Linked DNA regions of Caenorhabditis elegans. The protein of the gene in region 2 binds, or shares a complex with, the protein of the main gene of each other region. Each region holds a gene or a part of one and is shown on either strand. Other genes may lie near its edges.

Evidence for each region. Proteins that work in one complex are often made in the same cells at the same time.
Region 1: vps-54 (region 2) and vps-52 share a complex: the UniProt entries of both Caenorhabditis elegans proteins name them as parts of the golgi-associated retrograde protein (GARP) complex.

Annotation. Positions count from the first base shown.
Region 1 is NC_003284.9:7,563,577-7,570,685, reverse strand, and holds vps-52 (Vacuolar protein sorting-associated protein 52 homolog), read right to left. Parts: upstream 5,364-7,109; 5' UTR 5,356-5,363; coding exon 5,199-5,355; intron 5,157-5,198; coding exon 5,038-5,156; intron 4,976-5,037; coding exon 4,880-4,975; intron 4,838-4,879; coding exon 4,607-4,837; intron 4,553-4,606; coding exon 4,319-4,552; intron 4,269-4,318; coding exon 4,062-4,268; intron 4,012-4,061; coding exon 3,886-4,011; intron 3,777-3,885; coding exon 3,495-3,776; intron 3,447-3,494; coding exon 3,056-3,446; intron 3,009-3,055; coding exon 2,890-3,008; intron 2,838-2,889; coding exon 2,691-2,837; 3' UTR 2,541-2,690; downstream 1-2,540. Other genes in the region: Zinc finger protein unc-98, read left to right, coding at 1-46; Apyrase apy-1, read left to right, coding at 966-1,076, 1,123-1,266, 1,383-1,447, 1,516-1,630, 1,705-2,223, 2,305-2,418; sto-1 (Stomatin-1), read right to left, coding at 6,233-6,419, 6,468-6,586, 6,660-6,923, 6,970-7,044, 7,096-7,109. UniProt on the Caenorhabditis elegans protein: Acts as a component of the GARP complex that is involved in retrograde transport from early and late endosomes to the trans-Golgi network (TGN). The GARP complex facilitates tethering as well as SNARE complex assembly at the Golgi.
Region 2 is NC_003283.11:10,569,340-10,577,967, forward strand, and holds the start of vps-54 (Vacuolar protein sorting-associated protein 54), read right to left. Parts: upstream 7,081-8,628; 5' UTR 7,068-7,080; coding exon 6,868-7,067; intron 6,346-6,867; coding exon 6,106-6,345; exon of another isoform or gene 5,882-6,105; coding exon of another isoform or gene 5,837-5,881; intron 5,760-5,836; coding exon of another isoform or gene 5,595-5,759; intron 5,395-5,594; exon of another isoform or gene 5,385-5,394; coding exon of another isoform or gene 5,367-5,384; intron 5,293-5,366; coding exon of another isoform or gene 4,950-5,292; intron 4,904-4,949; coding exon of another isoform or gene 4,650-4,903; intron 4,597-4,649; coding exon of another isoform or gene 3,859-4,596; intron 3,771-3,858; coding exon of another isoform or gene 3,582-3,770; exon of another isoform or gene 3,575-3,581; intron 2,016-3,574; coding exon 1,835-2,015; intron 1,785-1,834; coding exon 1,680-1,784; intron 678-1,679; exon of another isoform or gene 541-677; intron 1-540. Other genes in the region: del-6 (Amiloride-sensitive sodium channel), read left to right, coding at 3,582-3,770, 3,859-4,596, 4,650-4,903, 4,950-5,292, 5,595-5,759, 5,837-5,881; mics-1 (PDZ domain-containing protein), read right to left, coding at 7,624-7,723, 8,013-8,141, 8,187-8,464, 8,515-8,628. UniProt on the Caenorhabditis elegans protein: Acts as a component of the GARP complex that is involved in retrograde transport from early and late endosomes to the trans-Golgi network (TGN). The GARP complex facilitates tethering as well as SNARE complex assembly at the Golgi.

The sequences.
Region 1 (7,109 bases), on a different chromosome or scaffold from region 2:
CTATTTATTCCCAAGAACAAGCGGATACGTGACTCCGCGATTCTGAGCAACCCCTGAGTATTTAAAATTTTTCTAATTTAGTATTTAAATCTATCCAGATCTTGTAAAATATATATATATTTCAACATCGGCTAGCTTTAACAATATTTGTCCTTCAAAATGTATATTCGATATGGTTCTTTCATATAACTCATATTTCTTTCTTTCAACTAAATCAACGTTTTTCTTTAGTGTTATCGTTTTCTCATTTCTTGTCATTTTGTCTTTTCCTCACATTTTTAAGACGCTCGTTATAAAGACGGTCAGCAGCAGAAACTCGTTTTGTGTTCAACATAAACTACAATTGACTACAAAGCACAAAAATCGTGTGTTTCCAACGCACTCAGACACACTCTATAAATACTGTTCTCGTCATGTCTTGTTGGTATTTTCTTCTTTCCCTGAAATATCGATTCCTGGTCAATCGTACAATTGGGACCATGTTAAGCGGGAAAGACATTGACCGCTAGCACAAATGTTGTCCGGCTCTCTCACAATCAATCTTTCTTCTGTGATGTGTTACGACAACCCACAACCGATTTTTTGATAGCAAAAATGATAAGATGATGATAGCGAGACAGCTCAATTGTTCGTTGTTCTAGAAGTTGTACGTTTTTTTAAATTTATTTTGCATCATTTTGAATTCATTATTTAAAAATGTATAAAATTGTTTAATTAACGGTTCTCGAAATATTTTGCCACTTCACAGCCACGATATCTCACTCAATAAAGCAAATGCAATTTGGGACACGCACTTGTGTTCGTTATTAATATCGAGTCCCCATTGAAAAAACTAGGCCACGCGGCCGTGAAGTACTCTCGGAAAACTACACCATTTTTTATTTTTTTATTCTACTTATATTTTCTCAAATCTCTTACTTTCAATTAATGCTTATAATTAAGACTCACAAAAATAATTTTTAGGTATGACACAAGAAAGTAACTCAAACTTTTTCAACTTCCTTCTTTTCGGGTTTGTGACCGCTATTGCCTTTTATTCGGGTACCCAATTCAACAAATCTAGCGAACAGGAAGAGGTAACTCTTTACATTTTCAGCTGATTGCGCACATATCCATTTACAGCACATCAACCATGCTAACTTGTATTCGGTAAAGAAGTTTGATGATGGAGCAAAAGAATACTCAATAATGTTGATCACCGATTTGGATCATGACAGCAAAGACGGGAAGAAGTGGAAAAGTTTGGTCTCTCGTGGATTTTTGAAGGTGAGAAGGACGGCAAGAAACTAATGCATTATGCTCAGCTTGACCAATATGATTTTTATAAAATGCAACTTGCTTTTTTCGAATCGCTATAGGAAATTTTCAAATTTATATTTCAGGTTTCTGCAGACCACAAGCATGCCGATATTCATTTTGACAAAGACTCGGAGTACTATGTTGACACGTAAGTTTACAAAATGTGTTTTTATAGATTTTTTTGTTTTGACTTCATTACTAAAATCATCATTTTAGAAATATTGCCGCCGGTGGACGCGCTATGGAGTTGTCTGACCTTGCCGTCTTCAATGGTAAACTGTACTCAATTGACGATAGAACAGGTCTTATTTATCAAATTAGTGACAAGAAGGTGAGTGATGAGTGGTTAAACAATGATATTTGTGTAGTGGATTGATTTTTAAAAAATATAATATTGTTTTGAAGGCACTTCCCTGGGTATTACTGAACGATGGGCCAGGAAACGTCGTGAAGGGATTTAAAGGAGAATGGATCACTGTTAAGGATACCGAATTGATTGTTGGAGGATTGGGAAAAGAATGGACGACCACTGACGGAGTTTATGTGAACGATCACCCAATGTGGGTGAAGCATGTCTCTGCTCACGGAGCCGTTCATCACGAAAACTGGAAGGATGTATATATCCGCGTTCGTAGAGCTGCTGGGATCGAATATCCCGGATACATGATTCACGAAGCTGTTCAATGGTCTGCAATTCACAGAAAATGGTTCTTCCTTCCACGTAGAATGTCAAATGAGAAGTATTCTGAGGCGGAGGACGAGAACCGCGGAACAAACGTTCTTGTGATTGGAAATGAAGAGTTGACTGATTTTGAGGTTGTGCGAGTAGGATCGGAGAATAACAAATCCAGAGGGTTTGCTGCTTTCCAATTTGTGCCAAACACTCATCACCAGCTCATCGTTGCCATCAAGTCGGAGGAAAAGGTAAGTAACAGGTTTTATCTACACAATTTTAAAAACAAAATCCGTTAATCTCAATGCTCGGTTTATAAAATTGTATTCCAGGATGGAAAACCAGTAGCAAGTTATGCAAGTGTTTTCGACATTCATGGTAATGTTATTCTTGACGAATATCTTCTTCATGGTCCATACAAATACGAAGGAATTGCATTTGCCTAATCACTTCAATTAATGTATTTTTGTCTCAATTCCCACCTTCCAGTCAGGTCCAAATCTGTGTTCTCGATATTATGTGATTTTTGTCAAATACTATGTAATGGTTATTTAAATAAAATAAATATATAAACATTTTATTCAACATTTTTTGCATGCATAAAGCTGCCAGTGGGTAAAAATATATATAAAAAAATACTCAAGTAAGTGGGAATCAATAAATTATTTAATTTACAAAGTCTACACGGGAAAATAAAATAACATTGGCAATATTTTTCTTAATATGCTGGTTTGAACCGTTTGATTTCGAGCATCACTTGATGAACGTTGACTAACTGGGAACACACGGGATTTTTAGCAAATACGTCATGGGACAGAATCTTTGTGAATCTATTGATATACTGAACGTACTTTGTGAAGATTGTCTGAAATCATCTAGTTAAAACTGAAATTCGGCTCTAGGAAATAAATTTTAACCTGTAAAATGGTGGTTCCCAGGCTGAAGTTAGTGAAAAGTTGTATGCATTCTGAATTAATACTGTCCACTGCAGGTCTCCACTTTGCATTGAAGTTTGCTACCACCGTTCCAACTTTGTCTGAAATTAAAATATTAGAGAATAGAAAATTATATATGACAACTTGCCATTATATCGAACTAAGAGTTGTGTATGACCTTGAACAATCAGAGATTCACACTCGTTGACAAATTTAATCATGTACCCAATATGTGGCTCTAGCATCTCTTCAACAAAATCATCAATACTTTTTTGTTCAAGCTCATGGACAATTGCATAAATCTTTGTATGCTTGCTTTCCTCGTTATCGATAATCGAAAGAATAAGATCGTAATTGTTAATCAGAAAGACGTGCTTATTTTTCTGAGTTTGCTGCATAGCTGACATTCGAGTCAATAGTTGTTCAATAGAGTCTTCACTGTTCTCCAAGACAGCTTCCATCTTTGCACCCATTTCCTTTCCACTTGCTTTTGCTATCATCAAATGTGCACTTGTCAGTTCGGCGTACCGTCGGACTATCTGTAACATCTGAATTTTTTTGATTATAAAAAACAATCAAAAACTTACGAAATGCGGTCTTGCATCAAGTGAACCGCTATGCATCAACTTCTTCAAATCAACAGATTTGACACTTTCGTAGTGTTGAGACATGACCAAATTGAGGCGGGTCCAAAGGAAGCTTGTGACAGTATTCCAATAATCGCTAACTTCTGGTACCTCTCTCTCGGCGAGCACTTCGGTAAACTTGTCACATAGACAAATGCACAGATGAAGACTGATGGCGTCCCAACTAAGGGCGATTTGCTCCTCGCAGCTTTTGAGCACAACTGACATTGCTCGAGCCATAGCCTGAAAGCAATTATAAGCTTTTTTCCGGTAGTGAAAAGGCAAACAACTATTGTAAATGTAACATTACTACGTAATAGATATTAGGTCTTTCCAGGTCCTCGTAACATACCTTGTTATGCAGTTCAATGGCTTCATCATTGCTGACAAGGAAAAAGTCGGTAATAAAGAGGTACTCATGGCTGTAGTGATCGACAAATGCCAGTTGAATAGAACGAAATAGTGCTTCAAATTGATACTGAAAATATAATTTAATTTGGTCCCTACCAGTTCTATTGTAAGGTATACCGATTGATGGTTCTGCGTAGCTGCGTGGGGAACAATCAAGGCTCCTAAAAAGTCGTCAGAGAGAATTTGATGTCGTTGCCCAATCGAAAAAACGGTTGCCTTATTCCGAACAACGTGTTGTTTCGACGAGAAAATTGCGCCTAATCCAGCGGGTTTTGCAAAATCAATACTTCCCAAAGCGTCTTCTTTGGTGGCCACGTCTTTCATCTTAAATAATTACTCTGGTGAATATACTTGAAAAATGTGTCTCAACCTACCGCAAGTTTGAACAGGCGTGTGGCGTATGCTTTGAAATACGTGAAGAACATCTTGCTGATGGTGTCAATGTACTCGTCTTGAAGTTCCTTGGCAGAGATCAAGTCATGGTGCAACAGGAATTCGTAGAAAAATCGGCATTTGAGAAGCTGGTGTTGAAAAACTTGGTAGTTGGACAGAGGTTTACGGAATTGGAACATTTTCTGAAGCAACCATTCCCTCACTTTTACAACCGCCTGAAAAAAAACATTTTTGAAATGTAAACTTTTGTAAAAAAAAAAACACCCAACCTTAAGCTTTAGTCCTTCCAAAATCGGCATAGTGTCGTTTACCGCTACCGCATCTCCATTTCCCCTTTGCAAAATTAAGGTTATTTTGTGGTGTAACTCGTGGAGCGCTTCCAAAAAACCCCTGTCATTTGCATCAGTGTCGTTGATAGTTTTCATCATCGTTTGAGAAACAGCAATATCGTCTACAAATTGGCTCAGCTCGACTCTAACTTTTTGCCGGTTTTCCAGTTCCTGAGAAGATTATAGTACGTTGAAATTGGAAAATTAATTTACTTGATGAATATGATGCGACTGTAGCTGCAAATTTTTCATATCCTGCCCAATTGATCCTAGATTGTCTTGAAAACTGTACAATGTTGCTTGCAAGCGCTAAAAAGTTTAATTAAATAGTCGACTGATTTATATATTGGCAATTTTTACAATATACTTACTTCAAAAACATTATCACAATGCACAAGTTGATTATGGAGTTGAGCCAACTGCTCAGAGTTATCAAGACACTGTTGAACAGAATAACGATGTGCCTCCGATAGCCGCGTGCTGACGTCGTCTGAATTATTGATTTTTCAAATGTTGACATTTAGAGACATACTTTTCGACTCGGTTAGTCCGTCACCAGAAGCAATTGCTTTTTTCACCAAATTCGGATCTGCTTTTCGCAATTGCGATAAACAAAATTCTAGCGACGATATTGTGAAACTACGGTCATTTGCCTCGGATTTTTGCAAGTTGACACGTGTTCGAGGCATTATTTGTGCTGAAATTGTTTCAATAAAAATTTTGATGAATAACTAACGTTAATAAATAAAAAATAGCGATAAACCAAAGAAAAAACAATTGGTAACACGTCGTTAAACGATGCTCCGCTTTTTACACCCCGCGCGGTGTTTAGAATAATGGTGTGCTTGTGTGCGAGGAAGGCGAGGAAAATGCTCGCCAAGGAGGTTATGCAGAACAATTGGAAAAATGAGAATGTGTGGATTTTTGAATTTTTATAGAGAATTTAATTTATCTATTTGGTATATTTTTGACAATTCGCTACGAGAAATCTAAAACACTATTAAATCTTCAAACCCCAACAATATTGAAATTTGGATTTTTGTTTAGTGAAAAAATAAGTGAAAATATGAATTTTTCTGATCAAAGACTTTCATAATAATTGGTGAAAACCTAGTTTTCAGCGCATTAGGCTCGAAATAAAAAATTTCTCAAAACTTTTTGAATCCTTCGATTCAAATATTTCCCGTTTTACAAAAAATTAGACAAATTTCTAAACTATATGGCTTCCTTCATTTTCTTGGAAAAATACACTTGAAAAATACAATGGAACGTGGAGAATCATATATATATTATTATTATGATGAGAAAAATGACTGAAAAAATTTGGAGCAAAATCGGAAGTCTTTCAGACAACCTCTCAAAGATATGCCTTGACAACCGATATGTGCAATTTGGAAGTGAATGAGGTGGAAATCGAGTATAAATATTAAGTGTTATACAGTTGAATAATACAGTTTAATAGTTAAAAAAAAATACTTCAAACAGGAAAGAGATTATCAATATGCTTCGAGTTGATCCTTGTTTTGTTTTTTGACGAAACTGTAGCTCATTTTGCGTTGCTTGGAATCAGAGTCGGCTTCCTGAGGAAGATGCGGTGGCTGGAACTGTATCCTGACGTTGAATGGATTGAAGGGCGGCATTCATCATTTCTTGAACTGGAAAGTTCTGAGATGTGCCTCCTGAACCAACCTTGCTGATTCCTCCGAGAATCTCCATTGGGAACGGGAAGATGATTGTGCTGGTTTTCTCGGAACTGAAATTTTATTTTGTTAGTTAAAAGTTGATAGTGCGCTTCCATTACCTGATAGCATTGAGTGTGTGCAGATATCGAAGCTGCATGGCTCCCTCGCTTTTTGAAATGATGGTGGCGGCTTCAGCAAGAGCGGCAGATGCTCTTAATTCTCCTTCGGCAGCGATAATCTGAAATTAATTGCAATCGAAATTAATAATTATTGGTCCCCCGCATTTTGCTATGCTCATCATGTCGGCTCACCTTTGCTCCAGCATCACGAGTAGCCTCGGCTTCAGCAGCCATAGCACGTTGCATTTGAGATGGAAGACGGACATCGCGAAGCTCGACACGTTCAACCTTGATTCCCCATGGCTCTGTAGCTTCATCGAGCGAGATTTTCATGTCGGCGGAGATTTTCTCACGGTCGGATAGAATTTCTGAAAGGGTATGGGTACCGAGAATTGTACGGAGGGTGGTTTGAGCCAAAAGTTTGGTAGAGTCGGTCGCATTGCCAACTCCGACGACCTAAAAATTCCAAATTAGATTGAACCGTACCAGCTGTTTAGTTTACCGAAGTGATTGGGTCAAACACCTTGAAGTAGACAACTGCGTCAACAGAAACGGTAACCGAATCGCGAGACAGAATCTGAAGAGAGAAAGATTATATCACAGTGAGCAGGTGTGTTGCGCAACATACCTCTTGTGAAGGGA
Region 2 (8,628 bases):
GCCACAATAAAATTTTCGAAATTTCATGATCACTTGGCGCTCCGGCCGTTCCATGAGCTCAATGAGCTTTGAGTCGTCGTTTAAAAAGAGCCGACAGCTGTCTCTTTCCACCCTCACTCTATGAAAAAAAACGGGACGGAAAAGATCACAAACATCAAACAAACTAGCTGATAATAGTAAAAGAACAGCTGACCGAATAGAATACGTCTATCTCAGATTTCGTACTTTTTCAATGAATTGTGGGAATAATGGGCATTGGCTAGGAAGTAGATACTTACTGGTGATTGTATAGGATAAAGTTATACAAAGACAGACGTTTTGAAAACTAAAAATTAAAAATGTGATCTCTAAAGCAAACTAAGTTTTTTTAACTGTTTGAAAAATGTGTTCCTAGATAAATGGAAATATTTCTAGTAAGTAAAAATACATTTTTAAAAACAGAAATAGTTTTCCCAGTTATTCCTGCTTACTGATCATTCAGCCATAACAATTTCTGGAAAAATTATCAAGTATCCATTCCCAATCTTACATTAGTATGTTTGATATAGAAACTTGTTTCGCATCTTCCTACATTTCCGTTGGTCAACCAGATGTGTCCACTTGTGCCAACAAGATGTCAATTTGTCAATCAGTACCTACACTTGATCACAGGAGGAAAACACGAAATCTAGAAGTGATTCAGATAATAGATATCTCACTGAGCCGATTCTTCTCTATCTCTTCGTCTCATCTATCTTTCGGCTGTTCGTTCGCTCCGTCGTAAAGTGATTGCAAAAAAAAGAAAAAGTATAACAGAAACAACTGCGACTACCCAGCTCTGTCCTAAACACTATTCGATCAGTATCTCTAAAGCGTTTGATCAAAATTAACGTTTTTTGGTTCAATTTTCAATTACTGAATGTCAAGTATTAATTAACAACAAAATTCTTTGCTACTTATATTTTCATTCCCTGTTTCCACATTTTCAATTATGCGAGAAGAAAGTGGAAATTTTAACAAAAGTGACACCAAACAATTAATTCGAGACCAACAATTTTGCTAAAGTCAATTACAACAACTAATAAGTAGGTAATCATGATTATGGCACTTGGTCATACAATCTATGAAGATGAGAAAGCATATCAAGAAGAACAACGGAGAAGAAGATTTAAGAGGTTCGTTTATTTTTAAATACTGATTCAATTTTTTTTAGTTCTATTTTAGAATTTTTGTGTTATTTGAATTTTTAAAGGTTGAGTTTAGATGGTAGAGAAATGGTTAAAAACTATTCCAATTGTGCCAAAACGGCCAAATATCATGATTATTAGCTTTGCAAAAAATTTGATTTTTTTTTTATTTTGAGTCAAAAAGCGGTGAAAATTCATTTTTTACCACTTGGATGGAAGTCATCGATCAAAAACTTTTTTGCTTCCAGTTTTATGTTCTAATCAGGTTTAAAATATTCTTATTCCAACATTTTAAGGGTTCGAATATACGAATGTGCGTTAGATTTTTTTAAAAGTTGCACAAACTCACTGAAATAATTGTCAAAAATTTTTGAAACGTTTTATTCTGATATTTGGCCATTTTAGCATCAAAGGAATGGTTTTCATTCATTTCCTTACTGACCGTAATCCATGTTTAAGATAAATTCCATTTAAAGGAAGATTTTTTTTGGTAGTATTCGTTTTTCTACATACCGTAGGCAGATCTTCCGCATCTTGTCTTTCATCTCCAATTCCAACTCCTCCATCGGCGTGACTCAAACGTAGAGCTCTTTTGATTGCCTGATATCGACGATAGGACTGTAAATATTTAAAAATAAAAAAAATAAATAAATAAAAGATCTTATCACCTCTCCAGCAGATTGACAATAACTATCGAAAGCCGAATCAGCGAGCCGAGCGAGTCTTTTAGATTGTGGTACCGGTTGTGTTGGAACAAAACTGTCACCCCAATGGCGTGTGAAGAACGTTGTTAGGTCACTTCGAGATCGTGATGGATCGGCAAGAACTGCTGACAGATTTTGAGTGAAACTGAAAATTTAGATATTGGAAGTGTCAATTGTTTCAACTTAAGAAATACTGTAATTATCCTAGTTTCCACATCAAAGTCTCAATATAAATTAACTTTCTGCCCATGTTTACGCTAAATCTATAGGTTATTTCTTCCTTTCCCTATTTTCATCAAATTCTCGTTCGCTTCACTGTTCTATTTTGCCCATTTCTAAGTGGATGGAGTGTCCCGTTTGCCTACCATCAATTTCTGCGCCTTTGATATCAAATTCAAACCAAAGGTCATCCAATTCTTTTTCTCTCCGTTTTTTACCTGAAGACTGTCCCGGTCCATCACTATAATTTCTTACTTCGCCTGATAACGAGTGATTTTGCGGCGACAACGTCTAAATTGCCACTGGTCAATTGAAAATCACTGTTTTTGGAAAAAAGAGAGAGAGATAGGGATAGAGATGTTTGTAGGGGGAGGAAAGATGAAATTAAAAAGAGGTTTCACCTCATTCAGTCATTTTTTAATCAAATCAAATGACCTGAAGAACTTGAAAAGTTGAAACAATTCTTCAGATTCTGTGTCAGAATTTCCAAATTTCAATTGATTACACAAAAAACTTGAAGTGAAAAATTTGAAAATGGCAACTACTAAGAAACAGTTAGAGGACATAGTAGAGGACAGAATTTTCCAATTTTGACACAATCCGATCCGAAAGGTGTGGTGATTGTTATCACAAGACATAACTTTATAGTTTAAAAAAATGTCGCAATCTTCTTTTCGGTTATGCACCGTGTCTATTAGAATTACGATAATGTAATAGATATTCAATAATTCTCTAGAAATGTTTATATATTTAAACGTCCAATTCTGTGTTTTGTTTGAAAGTTAACGTAGTTAAATCAGTTCCGCGTCCCGTGATTTTTAAAAAATTGTAGTTCGGAATTCATTGAAGGGAAAACATTTGGTATCCCTCAAGACCTAAAATCACCATTTTTCCCTATTCAGGTACACACCGTCGTCCAAATAATGCCGGTTTTAGTTGATATCAGGTCTCTCTTTTTCACATTCCACTGCTTTCCGTTTGTCCAAAATCAGGTTCTTGTCCCATCGGATACCGTTCGTCTTGATGTTACAATCAGTTATTTCAAAATATTAGTTTCTCAAAGTTCCTGGTTTTGACGCGTGTTTTTACAGTACGTTAACACTGGTTACAACTCCTTGGTCTTGATATTTTGTTCCAATGAATAGCCTGTAGAAAACAGAAACTAAGATGAAGAAGAAGGCGTGACCATCACCTAACTTTGACCCTCCTACTCCAACGATTTTCATCGTTTTTCCATCTTTCCCAACGCTCTCAAAACCAATAATTCGAATTACTGTTCTGAGCGTCATTCCCGCCCGTTTTTCGCCTTCTCTTGACTTCATCTCATCAGTTGAAAGTCATGTTTCAGGTTGTCTGGCTATTCATTTTTCAGCCACAATTTTTCAGTAAACACTTGTGTCAAATTAGTTAGATGTGAAGATTTATATAGTCAATTTTCAAAAACATCCTGCTCTTTCAATTACATCTTCCATTCTTAATTCTACATTTCAGAATGGGTGCCAAGGTAAAGGATCAGACGTCCGTCGAGATGCATGATATACCAAAAAATCAAGCTCATCCAGAAGATGATAAACCACATTCATGGAAGGATGCGCTGTTCGGAAGACGTGCTAGAAAGTATGCCTTCGTATTTATTGTCGCTTTTCTGGCTGTTCTCACCGTCAAAGATGTATTCGACCTGGTAAGTAATTACCTCTCATTATCACATTAGTATTTCCCTTCTGTTCAATTAAAATTGTAGTTCCTAATTTCAAACGACGAATTTACAGTTCGAGGAATACTTTGACTATCCAAAAGAATCGGACATCAACATCGTTTTCAATGAATCAATGACAATGCCAAATGTTACTTTCTGCATGTCTCGACAACAAGCCTGGTCCCATTTCAAATTGAATCTTACTGCGCCCGCGGATGAGTGGGATGCAGTTGTTGATGAAAATCTTGCAAATATGACTGATCACGACGCATTTATGAAGACTCCATGGGATTATCGACTTGTAATGGAAGCATACGACATGATTGCTACATATAGTAGTTTGGAAAGAGAGACAACTGCTCATGGATCAGCACGTTCCATTCACGTGTTTAAAAACGCTCCAAGACTTGCGGCAAAGAGAAAAACGTTCAAGAAATGGAGAGATATTCTCGACTCTCGTGGAATCACATTCGATGAGTTCACTCAAAAGACTGGAATTGAAGTTCTTCGCCGTTCAATGCAAAGATTCAGAAGACGCACGTTTGATGATGATGAAACTGTGATCAAAACGAAACTTCGCATTTCTTGGATTTCCCAGATGCAAATCTGCTTCCAGCCAGAATTCGATCAAGACAATTTTAAGACTATTGACGACCAGGGAGTGTTCTTTGACATGCTTCTTTCTCATAACGCTGAGAATACTGAAGGTCAAAAAATTGACTGTATGTCCGTAGATTTCCATGGAAGACCATCATCATTGAACAGATTCATGGAAGGAAAGGGTAGATCTAGAGATGGATACGTTGATGAGGTAAAACCAGAAACAAAAATAATGGTTCGGTGTATGCAAAAGCAATTATTCAGGTTTGTTTGGGACAGCGTCACGAGGTAACAGCTCATGTCACTGCACTCTATCAAATGTTAGAAAATGACGAACAAGGTACAAGATGCCGTGATGTAGAAGACGGAGAAGACAGTGAGTTCAATTGCCGATCTCGTTGCCGTATGGAGATGATCCGTGATGCTTGTCATTGTACTCCACTTTCATTAAGTTACCTAGCGAAAAAAGAAGACATGGAAATCTTCCCATTGTGTGACTATACACAATGTACTGTCGAGTAAGTTCCAGACACATATTTTCAGATTTCAAGTACCATTTTTCAGTGTTCAAAAGGGTAACTACTCTGACACAGAATGCGCCAACAAATGTTTCCCCGATTGCCGTCAAATTAGATTCGAGGTTGATCACTCTGTAAAAGGACGTATGCTTCGTCCTGATTTAACACTTGTTGAACTTTCCTGGGGTCCATTCGAATATCTGACTATGGAACAACAATGGAAATATAGTGCCACCTCGTTTATCGCTGCATTGGGAGGATCCATTGGAATGTGGCTTGGACTTTCGATTTTGTCACTTATCCAACTCGTAACATATTCTTACACCTACTTCACAAAGAAGATTGTTAATGAGAGAATTCTCAAGAAGGGAAATACTTTTGATAAAAAGGTAGGTCAATGAAATGATTGATATGGAACTAAATATTTAGTGAACTATTATATATTAAATGAAACCCATTTTAGACTGTTAATAAGAAATAATGCAAAAATAGTGAGTTTGTATTTTCAATAATTATGAGATTTATTCTTCTCATTTCTTTCAATTATTTTCATTCACTCGAAAGACACTGCATCTGTGCATTGAAATTCACGAGAACACATTACTTTCTTATTTTTGAACACTTTTCCTACACAAATCTTTTCCACTTCAAAAAACTTTTCAAACACGTTTCCACTCTAATAAATGCACAGGACGAGGGAGACGAGGATGGTGACTTCACAATTGACAACGGAACTGAGAGAAAGAAGATGTCATTGGCAGAGAATCCGTTCGCCGAATTTTTCCCAGCCGGATCACCGGAACAACCGAAGAAGATGGGCTCTAAGCCAAATTCACGTCAAGCATCTCTTGATAAGGCAAGCACTGTCACATGAGTCACTTTTCACCTCTATTTTACTATACTAAAATTATCTTAAATTTGATAATTTTTCAGGATGGAGGCAATGCACAAGGATACAGTTCTAATCCACGAGCTTAAAAACGTTGACTATATTGTTAGATCGATCAAACTTCAATTACTGGTTCTTAATTTCATAATTTTAAATTAGTTGTTCCTCTCAGGTTGTTAATCATCTTCTTTTTCTCTTTTTCCCTCACTTTTTTTTTCCTTTTGTTCCCCCATTCCCAATAATAACCTATTCCTGTGATCTACATGATTCTCTCTCTTGAAATATATTCGAAAACGAAATAAAACGAACTCACCTGTGAAGAGTGAATTTTTTCTTTTCAATTGTTGGAGTATCTCGATCACTTGTCAATCGTATACTTCTCAAACTAGCTGTTTCTTCACTATCTTCAGTATAACTTGCTACCAATGAAGATGTTGGACTTGAATATCCAGCTGGTTGAGAAGAAGTGTGACAACGACGAATGTGGGCTTCAAAATCAAGATCACATACTCCTTCCAGTGGTAGTTTCTGACATACTCCATGTTCTCCGTATCTAAATAATTAGAATATTTCAAACGATAAATTGCAGAAAATATAAAACCGTTCTTCAAAATTAACAAAAAATCTTGTTATTGATTTTTGAACAATCGAAAAATTTCGGTTTTCAATTTTTCAAATTTTGGTTTTTTTTCTTATTTTTAGAAGAAATTTGTTTATTTTTCAAATTTAAATTTAAAAAATTGAATTTTATGGTTAGTTTTCTGAAAGTTTTTATTTTATATGTTTCGATTTTGAGTTTCTTGAGCAAAAATACTTTTTTTTCATTTTCGATTTTTAATTTTAAATAAAAAAAACACAATTGTTTCTTTTTTTCATCAATATAAACAAAATGTGATTTTTAAAAAAGTAATTTTATGGTTTTTTTTTATTTTCCAGAAAATCGAAAAAATTTATTTTTTCGATTTTTCGATTCTCTTGAAAAAATATAGTTAACGAAAAATGTTCGATGACACCCTTGACTGTGATTTAAAATTATATTTAGAATTTTTATTTTTCAAAATTTTTTAAAACATACCTACAAAGAAAGCTACCACCTTCTTTTGTCGTATGATCTTGTCGAATATGTCGTGCAAACTCGGAAGCCGTCATAAGCTCGATAATTGGCTGACAATAATCACATATTCTTGGATAACCAATCTCCGGTTGAATTTTGAGTGAAGCTCTTGATGAACTTGCAGATATAAGACCTACTGTTCGGTCATCCATTGATTTCATTTGTGAATCATTTCTGGAAATAAGAATTAGTAAAAAACTAAAAATTTTGATAGTAAATATAATAATCTGCAAGAGACAGTGTTGAAATCGGAGAAAAATAAAATTACAAACGTTCAATATTCATTATTATGGCTCACAAAAAAAGAGAATCGGAATAGAAATGGTACTTGAGCAGCACTTAGTGCGAAATAATGGAGCGAGAAGAATGAGAAAGATTCAGAGAGAAAAAAGGCTAAAATATTCCCACCACTCGCACTAAAACGTCGATAAAATGTAAAGAACATTTGAATATTAACTTTTTTGACCGAGAAGCTGGGAGTTCTATTTTATACCTGTGGGATTGTTATCTATGAATTTTACTTTTTTCCTATTCTACATCGCAATAATACGCATTATACTTAGCACCAAAAATTGTCACGAAGTGAAACAGATGAATAACAGAGAAAATTGAATTGAATATTGAACAAACCGAGAAAAAAGAGAAGAAAGCAGAGAGAGAGAGAGGTAATACAATTAATATTACAAGTATTTAATTCAGAAAATGGGGAGAAAAAGATCAACGGCGTCCTCTGATGAATCTGTAGGCAAGGTATCCAGAGATAGTCAATGCTCCAAGACCGATTGAAACATACAAAGCTTCGGTTAGCCAAGAATTGCTGAAAGTTATCATTTGGTACTTTTCCGATTTCTGCCCCCCCAAAATGTTTTTTACTCAATATTTTAATTTAAATTCACACGTAAATGTTTATTTCAATACAATTTCAATTTTTAGGCTTATGGGATGATGCAAGTGAATTTCTCGTCATTTCTCGACAAATTTATTTACCAAAATTTCACCAAAAAAATTTATTTACCAAATAATAATATTTAATTTTTTTTTTCTGTCCAGTCAGATTTTAATAATAAAAATCGCGAATTTTTTAATTTCCGATTAATAAAACTTACTTTCTCGGATCCAAAAGACTAAGTGGTTTACGTGGTGTTCTCGGTACATCGTCAATGATGGAATGAGTGGAAGGAGCATAGGAAGTAACACTTTGAGCATCTTCTTCTTCGTAAACTTTTCCACGAATTCTGAAAATCAATAAGAAATAAATTCAGAAAAATTTTAAAATTTACCTTTCTATAACAGCCGAAAGTCCATGAGACGTCAAACGGCTTTTTGATTCCGAATGCGACATCGACTTTGGTGTGTCTGTATTATTCTGAGTACTACGAGTCTGTGGAGTGACTTGAGGAGTAATTGAAACAGAAGCAGTTGGAGTTTGTGTTCGATCTTCTTGAAGATGTAAGTATTCTCGATCAATCAACATTTTAGCCACATGACCGATTTTAACACTTCGAAATACTTCCACAGCTTCATCGTGTGTCTTGTAGGTCATATCGATACCGTCAAACTAAACATTGGAACAATTTAAATTAATAATTACTTTAATCGGAAACTAACCGACAAAATTTTATCGCCTGTTCTTACGACTCCATATGATTTTGACTCGCTATTAACTGATGAGACGTATATTCCGATATCTCCAACAAAGTGAGGATTGTCTGTTCCACCAAC